3 linked regions of the Callithrix jacchus genome follow. Each later gene encodes a partner of the first gene's protein in a complex. Links are inferred from orthologs where the notes say so. Each region holds a gene or a part of one and is shown on either strand. Other genes may lie near its edges.

The links.
Region 2: CELF1 (region 1) and CALR3 share a complex: the UniProt entries of both Homo sapiens proteins name them as parts of the EIF2 complex. The link is inferred for Callithrix jacchus from reciprocal best matches to the Homo sapiens genes CELF1 and CALR3.
Region 3: CELF1 (region 1) and CALR share a complex: the UniProt entries of both Homo sapiens proteins name them as parts of the EIF2 complex. The link is inferred for Callithrix jacchus from reciprocal best matches to the Homo sapiens genes CELF1 and CALR.

What each region holds. Positions count from the first base shown.
Region 1 is NC_133511.1:112,605,707-112,609,827, reverse strand, and holds the start of CELF1 (CUGBP Elav-like family member 1), read left to right. Parts: upstream 1-1,321; 5' UTR 1,322-1,457; intron 1,458-4,121. UniProt on the Homo sapiens protein: RNA-binding protein implicated in the regulation of several post-transcriptional events. Involved in pre-mRNA alternative splicing, mRNA translation and stability.
Region 2 is NC_133523.1:15,116,076-15,120,147, forward strand, and holds the start of CALR3 (calreticulin-3), read right to left. Parts: upstream 2,801-4,072; 5' UTR 2,746-2,800; coding exon 2,655-2,745; intron 2,469-2,654; coding exon 2,367-2,468; intron 1-2,366. UniProt on the Homo sapiens protein: During spermatogenesis, may act as a lectin-independent chaperone for specific client proteins such as ADAM3. Required for sperm fertility. CALR3 capacity for calcium-binding may be absent or much lower than that of CALR.
Region 3 is NC_133523.1:11,760,859-11,764,918, reverse strand, and holds the start of CALR (calreticulin), read right to left. Parts: upstream 2,801-4,060; 5' UTR 2,730-2,800; coding exon 2,639-2,729; intron 2,279-2,638; coding exon 2,177-2,278; intron 1,991-2,176; coding exon 1,787-1,990; intron 1,329-1,786; coding exon 1,234-1,328; intron 1,136-1,233; coding exon 926-1,135; intron 841-925; coding exon 727-840; intron 631-726; coding exon 487-630; intron 1-486. UniProt on the Homo sapiens protein: Calcium-binding chaperone that promotes folding, oligomeric assembly and quality control in the endoplasmic reticulum (ER) via the calreticulin/calnexin cycle.

The sequences.
Region 1 (4,121 bases):
AAAACTCTTGAGGCTTCCACTTGGAAGCCCATTTGTTGTTTGTGGTAAGGTAGGGTATAATCAGTATTTGTGGGTATAAAAACTATATTCTCTGGGAAGCCAGATGATGTTACAGAGAAACCATCCCATGAGTTATTTGCATGTCGATGGGGCCAGAAGCTTCCAGAACAAAGTTTTTTTTCTTAATCTACATTTAACTACCTCACAAGGTCTGGAACCTACAGAATAAATGTTTGCTTAAACAATAACAAAATGTACTGTTTGCGTTCTATCTAGACCCAGGGATTCCTGAGTAACTCCGAACAAGTGAGTTGTTAAAAAAAAATGTTTCTGGTCGGGCGCGGTGGCTCAAGCCTGTAATCCCAGCACTTTGGGAGGCCGAGGCTGGTGGATCACAACGTCAAGAGAACGAGACCATCCTGGTCAACATGGTGAAACCCCGTCTGTACTAAAAATACAAAAAATTAGCTGGGCATGGTGGTGCATGCCTGTAATCCCAGCTGCTCAGGAGGCTGAGGCAGGAGAATTGCCTGAACCCAGGAGGCGGAGGTTGCAGTGAGCCGAGATCGCGACATTGCACTCCAGCCTGGGTAACAAGGGCGAAACTCCGTCTCAAAAAAAAAAAAAAAAAAAAAATTTTTTTTTTTTTCCTGGGAAAAGCAGGTTATGGCTGAGCAATCATTCTCTTAATAGAATCCTTGTGAACTTCCTGGTGTCGCAGTGATCGTTGCCAGATTGTGCCTTCACACTGATTATCTTGCTAAAAGGCTCTCCCTGAACTTGCAACACACATATCCACATCCCAGCAAAGAAGGAAGGCCTGGATGCTGTTGCTTGTCTGCTGGGCAAAAAGGGGCGTGCCATGTGTCCGGCGCTGGCCGAGCACCATTCACTCCTTCACTCATCCATTTATTCAACAAATATCTTATTATGCTCATATTCAGTGCCCAGTAGGGGTGCCTCCTTGCCGACCAGGGTCATCTAGAGCTCCTGTGAGTGCGGTGGGCGGAGTCGAGAACTTCGGAATCCCAGGCCCTTCTCTTCCCTCCAGTAGGGCTAGAAGACAAAGAGATGCGCCCCCGCAGCTCCCACCGCTGAGGGCTCCGCCCGCGGCCCCAGGGGCTTAGGCGCGGCTGCTCCTCCACTCCCCAGCCCGAGGGGGCGCTGCAGCGTCCGGCGCTCGGCCCGCCCCTACGCCGCGTTCCGCTCGCATCTACGCTGCGGGCGGCGCCGCGGTGATACGTTCCCCCTAGCCGAGCTCCCCCTCCTCTTCGGCCCTCCCCGCCGGTGGTAGGTGCCGGAAGTGCCGCCATTTTGGGGTGTTCTGCTCTGGCGGCAGCGACGGCAGCGGCGGCGGGACGCGGAGGCTCCCCGGGGACTCAGCCTCAGCAGCGAGGCGGCGGCTGCGGAGGCTCAGGCAGCAGCTGAGGTAGCGGCGGGCTCAGGTGCAGCCGCTGGTGAGTGCTGCGGCCGCAGGATAACGGGCCGCGGGAAGGAGGGAGGGAGGGAAAGAAGGCAAGAGGGAGGCGCCACGGGGCGGGTCCGGTTCTGGAGGCCGCGGGTCACAGCGCTCGCCTGGCGCGGCCGCTCCTTGTTCCCTGCGCCCCGGGGCAGGGCTGCGATCTCCTCCCGCATGTCGGGGTCCCGGGGTCCCCGGGTCCTGTCGCGCTTGCCTGGCGCGTGCCTCAGCGCTCAGGGAGACCCGCCCTCCTCGTGGCCTGGCTTCCTTCCCCGCGCCCTTTACCTTCACCCTCTGAGCTCAGAGGCCTTGTGTCTTGCCCAGGGCCACCGTCTTTTCCCTCTTCTTTTTGGCTGCGGTGCTGGACCCAGGCTACCTGCCCGGGATACCTCATCTCTGCCCCTGTCGCCTCACGTGTTCTTGGTGTCCACCCTGGGGGTGCCGAAGGGCCCCTGCCTGTAGAAGGCAGCGCTTTTCCGGAGCTTCGAGAGCCCCTCGTTACTCGCTCCAGATCCGCTAAGGCCTTGGCTCGCCCTCCCCCCGCATCAGGTGCTCACCCAGTCGTGGCCTAGTTGTTGGGCAGGAATCTCGCACCGGGAAGCGCGGGGAGCACATTAAGCGCTTTCTTCGCTAGGGACCAGGCTTTGAATTTAAAGCCGGTGGTGTAGGCTTTGAATTTAAAGCCAGTGGTGTCTTGGTTGTGGTCCTCCGGGCAGGATGTTGTTTTAATTCTCCGAGACCATTGCACATGCTCCAAGGAGCTTCTTACTGGTTCAGGCTCATACCCATAGTTGAGGGGAATGTGGTGAGATTTTGGTCGGAATTTGTTTCCACAAAATAGAATCTTTCTCGCCAGGAGAGTTAATGCTGTAGGTTTATTACCTTCGAGCAAAAAGGCTGTATAACAGTTTTAAAGAGCATGAAATACTTTATAATGTGTACATTGTAAGAGGTTACAAATACCCAATGTATCTTTTACAGGAACTTCACCTTTTTTTTTTTTTTCTTTTGAGGCGGAGTTTCGCTCTTGTTGCCCAGGCTGGAGTGCAATGGCTCCATTTCGGCTCACCGCAGCCTCCGCCTCCTGGGTTCAAGCGATTCTCCTGCCTCAGCCTCCCGAGTAGCTGGAACATTTTTGTATTTTTGGTAGAAACAGGGGTTTCTCCATGTTGGTCAGGCTGGTCTCAAACTCCTGACCTCAGGTGATCCGCCCGTCTCTACCTTCCGAAGTACTGGCGTCCGGCTGGGACTTCATCTTTTAAAGGTCTTTTCACTGTCTTTGATTCTCCGTGAATTGGGAAGGCTTTAATTGGATGCTTTCCCCTTTCCCACAAGTGTAGCTTTTCTCCGAGTGCTATGGAAGTTTCAGCTTCCCCATTCATCCTTGGTGAGAATGAAGGCGTCTCCATTTAGAAATCAACCTTTCTGTTTTAGCATTAATGAGTCCACTCAGAAAATTACAGAGTTACAATAGCATGCACAAACTGTTGCTACGGTGATTTTCTTCTTTCGTCTAGCTTTACTTACCTAGTATGTGGTTTCTGATCATGAGTTAGCCAAGATTGAAGCAGCGCTGTTGGTAAAGCAAAGCTGGAGCTTTCAGCTGTTGCTTTAACCAGGAAGATCATGGTTCCCCTAGCGGTTCTTTCCTCATGACAATCCACCACCTGTTTCCATTAAGAATGGCCTTTGGCCCAGAGCATAGGCCTCAACTTCTCTTCAACCATTCATTCTGTCCCCTTTAAAGAAAACGCAGGGTTTTCTTTTGATTGGAATCTGTTTCCACAAAATGGAATGTGTTCTAGATTTAAGATGCAGAAGCAAGAGAGGCTGTTAGAGTTGGAATATCTTTTCTTGAACCCCTTCACTTTTTAAGTGACTTACTTGCCCAAGGTTATTATTTTTTTAAACTATATCATGAGTAATATTGCAGTCTTTGAGTTGTAATGAAATGGGAAAGGATCCTGACTCGAAGTTAGAACTAGGCCTGAATCGTAATTCTTGCTTTGTCATTTACTAGTTATACAACTTTGGCAAGTCACTCAACTGTTCTCCTCAGTTTATTCTCACCTGCAGGATGAAAGAAACAGCATCTGTCTCACATGGTATCAGTTCAGCTTCAGTAACATGGTGAAATACCCGTGATGTAATAGGCAGTGAAGTTTTTAGCCAAAATGATTTATTTTTCTAAAGATTTCCATTATTTTTTTTTACTACAGAAGCTACAGATTCGTTATAAAAAATACAGATAAGTCAGAAAAGGAAGAAACTTACCCATAGTGCCACCACTCAGAGATGATTTTCAATGTTAGATCTTTATCTTGTCCATCCTTTTCATATGCTGTAGAATACTTGGCTTTTTGTGTCTGGCTAATTTTGCTTACCATGTTGTTTTCAAGGTCGATGCATCACGTTATAGTGTGTATCAGGACTAATTTCCTTTTTTGTTTTTGAGATGGAGTCTTGCTCTTGTGGCTCAGGCTGGAGTGCAGTGGCATGATCTCAGCTCATTGCAACCTCTGCCCTCCCAGGTAGCTGGGAATACAGGCATGAGCCACCTCTTCTGGTCAATATGGCGAAACCCCATCTCTACTAAAAATACAAAAATTAGCCTATAGTCCTAGTTAATCGGGAGGCTGAGGCAGGAGAATTGCTTGAACCT
Region 2 (4,072 bases), on another chromosome or scaffold:
TTTTTTTTTTGAGACGGAGTTTTGCTGTTGTTACCCAGACTGGAGTGCAATGGCGCGATCTCAGCTTACCGCAACCTCCGCCTTCTGGGTTCAAGCAATTCTCCTGCCTCAGCCTCCTGCGTAGCTGGGACTACAGGTGTGCACCACCACGCCCAGCTAATTTTTGTATTTTTAGTAGAGAAGGGGTTTCACCTCATTGATCAGGATGGTCTCAATCTCTTGACCTCATGATCCACCCGCCTCGGCCTCCCAAACTGCTGAGATTATAGGTGTGAGCCACCACACCCGGCCCCATATTTTTCTTTTTCTTTTTTTTTTTTTGTGAGACGGAGTTTCGCTCTTGTTACCCAGGCTGCAGTGCAATGGCACAATCTCAGCTCATCGCAACCTCTGCCTCCTGGGTTCAAGCAATTCTCCTGCCTCAGCCTCCTGAGTAGCTGGGATTACAGGCGCGCACCACCATGCCCAGCTAATTTTTGTATTTTTAGTAGAGACGGGGTTTCACCATGTTGACCAGGATGGTCTCGATCTCTTGACCTCGTGATCCACCCGCCTTGGCCTCCCAAAGTGCTGGGATTACAGGCGTGAGCCACCGCACCCGGCCCCATATTTTTCTTTTTAATGCAAACATTAAAATGAGAGGAGGAGCCCACTTTTCCCTCTGAGGGGAACAGCCCTTGATCCCCATGTGCACTTGACTAGCATCTTTTAAGAGGGGCAATTTTGGTAATGGATACTCATAACACATTTTTTTTTTTTAAGATGGAGTCTTGGCCTGTCACCAGGCTGGAGTGCAGTGGTGCAATCTGGGCTCACTGCAACCTCCACCTCCTGGGTTCAAGCAATTCTCCTGCCTCAGCCTCCCGAGTAGCTGGGACTATAGGTGTGTGCCACCATGCCTTGCTAATTTTTTCTATTTTAGTAGAGACAGGGTTTCACCACATTGGCCAGAATGTTCTCCATTTCCTGACCTTGTGATCCACTCACCTCAGCCTCCCAAAGTGCTGGAATTACAGGCGTGAGCCACCATGTCTGGCCAACACATTTATATAAATATAATCCAAAGGTTAAACACCATTGAATATGTGACAGTGCTTCTTGTATGATTTTATTTATTTATTTTTTTGAGACGGAGTTTCTTTCGTTACCCAGTCTGGAGTGCAATGGCACGATCTTGGCTCACCGCAACCTCCGCCTTCTGGGTTCAAGCAATTCTCCTGCCTCAGCCTCCCGAGTAGCTGGGACTACAGGTGTGCACCACCATGCCCAGCTAATTTTTGTATTTTTAGTAGAGACGGGGTTTCACCTTGTTGACCAGGATGGTCTTGATCTGTTGACCTCATGATCCACCTGCCTCGGCCTCCCAAAGTGCTGGGATTACAGGCGTGAGCCACCGTGCCCGGCCTCTTGTATGATTTTATTATGCCAAATAAGCTGAATATGTCTCCTTGGACTTCAGGGGACCTAATACCAATAAAATAATAGTAATAGTAATAATAATAATAGGCCAAGCACCTTGGCTCACGTTTATAATCCCAGCACTTTGGGAGGCTAAGGGGAGGATCACTTGAGGCCAGGAGTTTGAGAGCAGCCTGGGTAACATGATGAAACCCTGTCTCTAAAAAAATTAGCCTGAAACAGGCATGGTGGTGCATGCCTGTAATCCCAGCTCCTAGGGAGCCTGAAACAGGAGAATTGCTTGAATCCTGCCGGTGGTTTGAGTGAGCCAAAATCGTACCACTGCACTCCAGCCTGGGAAACAGAGACGGACTCCTGCTTTAAAAAAAAAAAAAAAAGGAGCAATCTTCGGCAATAAAGAGAGAGGAGGCCAGGTGTGGTGACTCACACCTGTAATCCCAGCTCTTTGAGAGGCTAAGGCAGGTGGATCACAAGATCAGGAGTTCGAGATTAGCCTGGCCAACATGGTGAAACCCCTTCTGTACTAAAAATACAAAAATTAGCTGGGTGTGCTGGCGTTCGCCTGTAGGCCCAGCTACTCAGGAGGCTGAGACAGGAGAATTGCTCAAACCTGGGAGGCGCAGGTTGCAGTGAGCCAAGATCATGCCACTGCACTCCAGCCTGGGCAACAGAACAAGACTCTGTCTCAAAAAAAAAAAAAAGAAAAAGAAAGAGAAAGAAAGAAAGGAAAAGAAATGAAAAGAAAGAAAGAAAGAAGGAAAAGAAAAGAAAAGAAAGGAGAGAGAAAACAACAACAAAAGATAAGGAAGCCTTGCCTTAAAGTCTATGCCTTAAGGTCTTCATGTGTAAAATGGGAATAAAAGCTTTTGGCTGTGCCGTAACTACCTTGAAAGGTTGCTATGGAAAATGTAACATTAGGCTCGATTTGGTCCTGATTCTACACTAACCTTTATCTTTCTCTTTATGACCATAAAAGTTCCCCGACGAGACTCTAAAATGCCCAAAACGGGAGTCATTGGTGGACTGCACCCATCGGTTTCTCCAGTGCTCTGTGGGGAGGGGAAATAACACCGGTTAGAGCTGATAACAGTTAATTTGCGTCGAGGGAAAGGTGAGGGGGACCCTCGAATAATTGAGGGTTCGCTGCCATCGACCCCGCGGCGACTCTGGCCAGCCCTAGAGGGGAGGAGATAGGGGAGCTTACACCCTTGCCACCACGGGCGTCACCCCTTCACCTCCGTCTAGAAATTCCTCTTGGAAATAAACGGTAGCCAGCGCCACCCGCAGCAAGCAGATGGCCCAGAGTGGGACCGGAGCCCCGGCCATGGGGGCGTGCACTACGCTTCCTGGCGCCACCGCCCCTTCGCTTCCGGCGGTCTCTGCGGCTCTTCAGGCGCGCCCCGAAACTACCACTCCTGTCACGTCTCGTGATTATGACCTGAGGTCTCATAGGTCGCTGCGGCGCGGGGCACGTCGGGCCCGTCCCGGAACTACCACTCCCATGATGCCCCGCGATTGTGATTCGGGGTGCCATTGGTCCCCGGGACGCTGTGCTTCCCGGGAGTTGTAGTCCCTTCTGGCTCTGTTGCTCAGGGCAACTGCTCTCTCAGGCCTGAATGTGGTGGCAGTCTCTGCGAATGGACACACTGGGAGGAGGTCGGCAGGGCTGGTGGGGAGGTGACGCGGCTGAGCGCATGGGCTCGCGAGAGGAGATACGGGGAAGTCGGGCTTGCTCTGGAGGTGAGCTGGTCGGGAGGCTGCAGGGTGGTCCCGCGCCTCAGTTTCCCTGTCTGAGGTCTGTTGAGTTCAGTGCGGGTCGCTTCATAGCAGGGGAGAAGAGCAGGATGGTCTGAGGGGCGCCAGGGTTTTCAAATTTTGGTTTGTTGATTTTTAACAACTTTATTGAGCTACAGTTTGCATACCATAGTGTTTACCACTTTTAAGCTGACGACTCGGTTATTTTTAGTAAGTCTTCAAAGTTGTGAAGCCGTCGCCACCATTCAGCTCATCCAGCTTTAGAACTCTGCAGCAGGCTGGGCGCGGTGGCTCCTGCCTGGAATCCCAGCACTTTGAGAGGCAGAGGCGGAACAGTCACTTGAGGCCAGGAGATTCAGAGTAGCCTAGGCAACATGGCGAGACCCCATCTCTAAAAAAGATAAAAATAAATAATTAGCCAGGTGCAGTGGTACATGCCTGTAGTCCCAGCTACTCGGCATGTGGAGTCGGGAGGGAAGATTGCCTGTGTCTAGGAGGTCGAGGCTGCTGTGAGCTGTGATCAGGCCACTGCCCTCCAGCCTGGGTGGCAGAGCAAGACCCCTACTCAAAACAAAACAAAACAAAAAACAAAACTAAACTTTCTATTACCCAAGGAGATTGCTTCGTTCCTTTGCAATCTGTCCTCACTCACACCCACAGTTCCAGGGAACCGCTCATCTGCCTTCCTTTTTTTTGTTTGTTTGAGGTCTCACTCTGTCGCCCAGGCTAGAGTGCAATGGCACGATCTCAGCTCACTGCAACCTTCGTCTCCCAGTTTCAAGGATTCTCCTGCCTCAGCCTCCCGAATAGCTGGGATTACAGGCGCACACCACCATGCTCAACTAATCTTTGTATTTTTAGTAGAGATGGTGTTTCACCATGTTTGCCAGGCTGGTCT
Region 3 (4,060 bases), on another chromosome or scaffold:
GCTCAAGTGATCCTCTTTCTTCCTAGATAGTTGGGATAACAGGTATGCATCACATCTGGCTAATTTTAAAATTTGTGTAGAGATGAGGTTGCCTCACTATGTTGCCAAGCAAGGTTGAGTTGTCAAACTCCTAGCCTTAAGCAATCCTCCTTCCTCAGCCTCCTAAAGTACTGTGATTACAAGGGTGAGCCACTGCGCCCAGCCCCAAACTTTCTGTGTTACCTGACCACCTTCTAGCTTTTTAGGGGTATTTAAAGAAGTTGATTTGCATAAAAGTACTAGGGGAAGTACTTGGTGCACAAAAAGTACAACCTCAAAGGGGCTGCTGTGAGGACTCCATAAGGACAGACCAGGAAGTACTGTTTAGAGAAGTACCATCTTGAGTCAGACCTTCCTGGGGTGTGATCCTACCCTGTCCCTTTCCTCCTGGGTGATGGTAAGCTCTCGAGGTACCCCAGGGATCCTCCTTTTCCCTCCAAGTCTCACCTGCCAGAGGTCCAGGCCCAGCACACCAAAGTTATCATAGGCATAGATATTGGGATCAGGGGAATACTCGGGATTGTCAATTTCTGGGTGGATCCAAGTGCCCTTGTAATCTGGGTTGTCGATCTGTCGGGGCTTCCACTCACCCTGCAGAAGGCATAAGGGAGAAAAGAACCAGAGGGTGAGTGAGGTTGGTGGACTCCCCACTGTGAGCTCCAGCCCTGCTCAGAACCCCAAACTCACCTTGTACTCAGGGTTCTGAATCACTGGGGGTTCCCACTCTCCATCCATCTCTTCATCCCAGTCCTCAGGCTTCTTGGCATCAGGGTCAGGAATATGCTCAGGCTTGTCCCAGTCCTGGGGTGTAGAAGAGGTCAGAGTTGGCCCAGCTGTCCTACACACGCTCCAGTGTGGAAAGCAGAGCCCCTCCCCAAACACCTACCTCAGGCTTGGAGTCTGTGGGATCATCGATCTTGGCCCGCTCATCCCAGTCTTCCGGTTTTGAAGCAGCAGGATCCTTTATCTTCTTGGGTGGCAGAAAGTCCCAATCGTCCTCCAAGGACCCCGACTCCACCTGGCTGTTGTCGATCTTCACCTCGTAGGTATTGTCCGGTCGCACAATCAGTGTGTACAGGTGTGTAAACTCATCATCCTGAAGAAGGAAGGAGGTGAGTGGGGCCCCCCGCAATCAGACCGACCTCTGAACTTCCCATGACAGCCATCATTTGCCACCACCACCCCCAGGCACACCTTGCAACGGATGTCCTTGTTGATCAGCACGTTCTTGCCCTTGTAGTTGAAGATGACATGAACCTTCTTGGTGCCAGGGCCACAGATGTCAGGACCTAGGTGGGAAACACATCCAGTTAAGAGTCAGAGACTACCCACCATTTCAAGGCCCTCTCCCCTCTTTACAAAAGGAAAACCTGGTTCTTAAACTTGGTCTGTCAAGGCTAAAAAGAGGGACTCAGACCTTGATGCTGTCCTGAATGAACTGTGGCTGGAGCCTCAAGTTTAAAGAAAAAAAATGAGCGTTCTAGAACTCAACATCCTCATTTGTAAGATTGGGAAGTAACTATATACAATCATACAAATTAAATTAACAGCCTAGATCTGGGATAAGGCAATAAATTGTTGCTAACTGTGACCTATTCTTTTAGCTCTCCTTCCAAAGAAAATCATGATTAGTAAATGCTTTCCATCCTCTCAAAAATCACTTTTCTGGGATGTAAGGAACTCAATGGGGTCTGAGTCTCCCTCCAACTAATGGGACAGAGATCAGCACCAGGAACCAGCCCCTCACCGAACATGATGTTGTATTCTGAGTCTCCGTGCATGTCCGTCTGGTCCAAACTACTAGGAAACAGCTTCACATAGCCGCCCCCACAGTCGATGTTCTGCTCATGTTTCACCGTGAACTGCACCACTAGTGTCTGCCCTTTGTTGCTAAAGGGCTCAAAACTGGCCGATAGAGCATAAAAGCGTGCATCCTGGCTTGTCTGCAAACCTGAAACGGAATAGCAGTGAGGTCACCGTTGGGCCCTGACCCCCGAGGACCCAAGACCTAGAGAATACAAACGACTCCCCTTTCCTCCACCTGCTCTCCTCCTAGGGGACTGTCCCAGCTGTGTGCAGACAAGGACTTCTGCCAGGAAGTCCTCCCGGATCAGAGCACCCACTCCTAGGCTCTTACCTTTATCTTTCTCCTGGTCACCGTAGAACTTGCCGGAACTGAGGGCAAATTTGCCAAAATCTGACTTGTGTTTGGATTCGATCCAGCGGGAAGTCCACCCATCTAAGTGGGAGGTTAGAGGGGGGAGGTCAACGCGGTTGTGCCGATTCCCCACCACCAAACATCTGCCGAGAATCAAAAACTGCTGGGGACAGGGAAGGAGATCCCCGACTCTCCCCACCCCAACCTCTAGTTTGACACCTCAGGTGCCTTAAGAGATCCTCAGGCGAACCCTAACTCCCGCTGCGGGAGGCCGCTGCGCCTCTGCGCTCCCCAGGGACGCAAAAGAGGAATAGCCCTCGGCTCTAGGCCCTGGAGGCCACCATGTTGGTCCCCAAAGCAGTAATTACGGGCAACAACGCAGATCCGGGATGGGGGCCAGCCGCGTCGGCGGGGCAGCCTCGAGGCGAAATCAGGCGTTACCTCCGTCCAGAAACTGCTCCTTGAAATAGATGGCGGGCTCGGCGGCAGCCAGGCCGAGGAGGCCGAGCAGCAGCGGCACGGATAGCAGCATGGCGGGCCGAGGGGGCGGCGGCGCGCTGGCCCTTTAAAACGACTTTGGGGCAGCGGCTCTGCAGTACGGACGGCCGCCGCCGCCCGCCTTGCACCTTTATACCCATCCGCCTCTCAAACCAACCTGACCAAGCCCTTGGGCCCGCCCTTGACACTTTATCATTGGTCTGCGCTCACGATTGTCTTTTTCCATTGGATCTTTATCGGTTCACCATGTTAGGCTGCGCCTCGGAACGCTGGGTTCCCAGATGGCCGATTTCTATTGGCCTCACCGCTGACCAATGAGAGTCGACCACGCGTTGTGGGGGACGCCCTCTGGTGGGGCGGGGGCCTCGAGCCCCTCAGGCCAGGTCATGTGACCAGATCTAAACCCAACCCCGCCCTCGCCCGCGTGCGTCTTTCCTCATCTGGGCGTTTAAAGCACTGGCGCGAGCGCAGGTGTTTCCACGCGGGACCGGAACCATGTCCCAACTTCTCTCCCTCTCATTCCCTCTACCTGGAGGGGCTGGGCAAGGCTTTTCTAGCCATTCGGGAACCAGTACCCTACAGCCGCTCCCCCATCTCCGCCCGGGATTGAACAGAGCTCAGGGGTTGTGGCCCTGGGGCTTCGCTGCACCCCAGTGCTACAGCCACGCGGGCCAATGGGAAAAATGCCAACTCTCTCCTCCTTCTGCCCCTAGTGCCCTGGCAGCCTATCGGACTGCTGCTGTGCGACCTGGGGCAAGTCACTTAACCTTTCTGAAGTGACAGACGCCCCTGAGCAGCCAGAGGGGACGACCCTCCCTGGTCAGATGCTACCCAGCCGAAAGGCTTTTAACGTTTTGAAAGCTGTCCTGGGACAAGAGGGAAGGAAGGCTTAAGGATGTGACTCCTGGGGTGGGGACAGGGTTATTACCCAGGTTGCAGCAGCCCCTTTACTCTCTTCTCAACCGGTAAATGAAGGGGGTCGATGTCTTGTGGTCTCCCACAAACGGCCTGGCTTTTGCAATTAAACGTCTATAGGCGAGAGGGCCGGGGGTTCCGTTTGGGGAGGGAAAAAAGACAGACGGTAGGGACGATAAGGTGCTAGGGAGATGGGCAGGACCCCCCCCCCCACCTCGACCTCGACTGAGTCTAGTGCCTTCTTCTGAAGCTAGAGAGACGTGACTGACACCAGCACCCTGCCCCCACGCTGCAGAAAGGAGGAAGGAGAGCTGGGGGTTTTCCAAAGTCTAGGCAAATAAGCCCTGGACCTGGGAACCCGGGAGTGGACTGTGGAAGGAGGGAATGAAGGGGATCCAGGAAAGAGGGCGGGGAGGGTTGCTTCCTAGCTAAAGATAGTCAGAAAAGGGA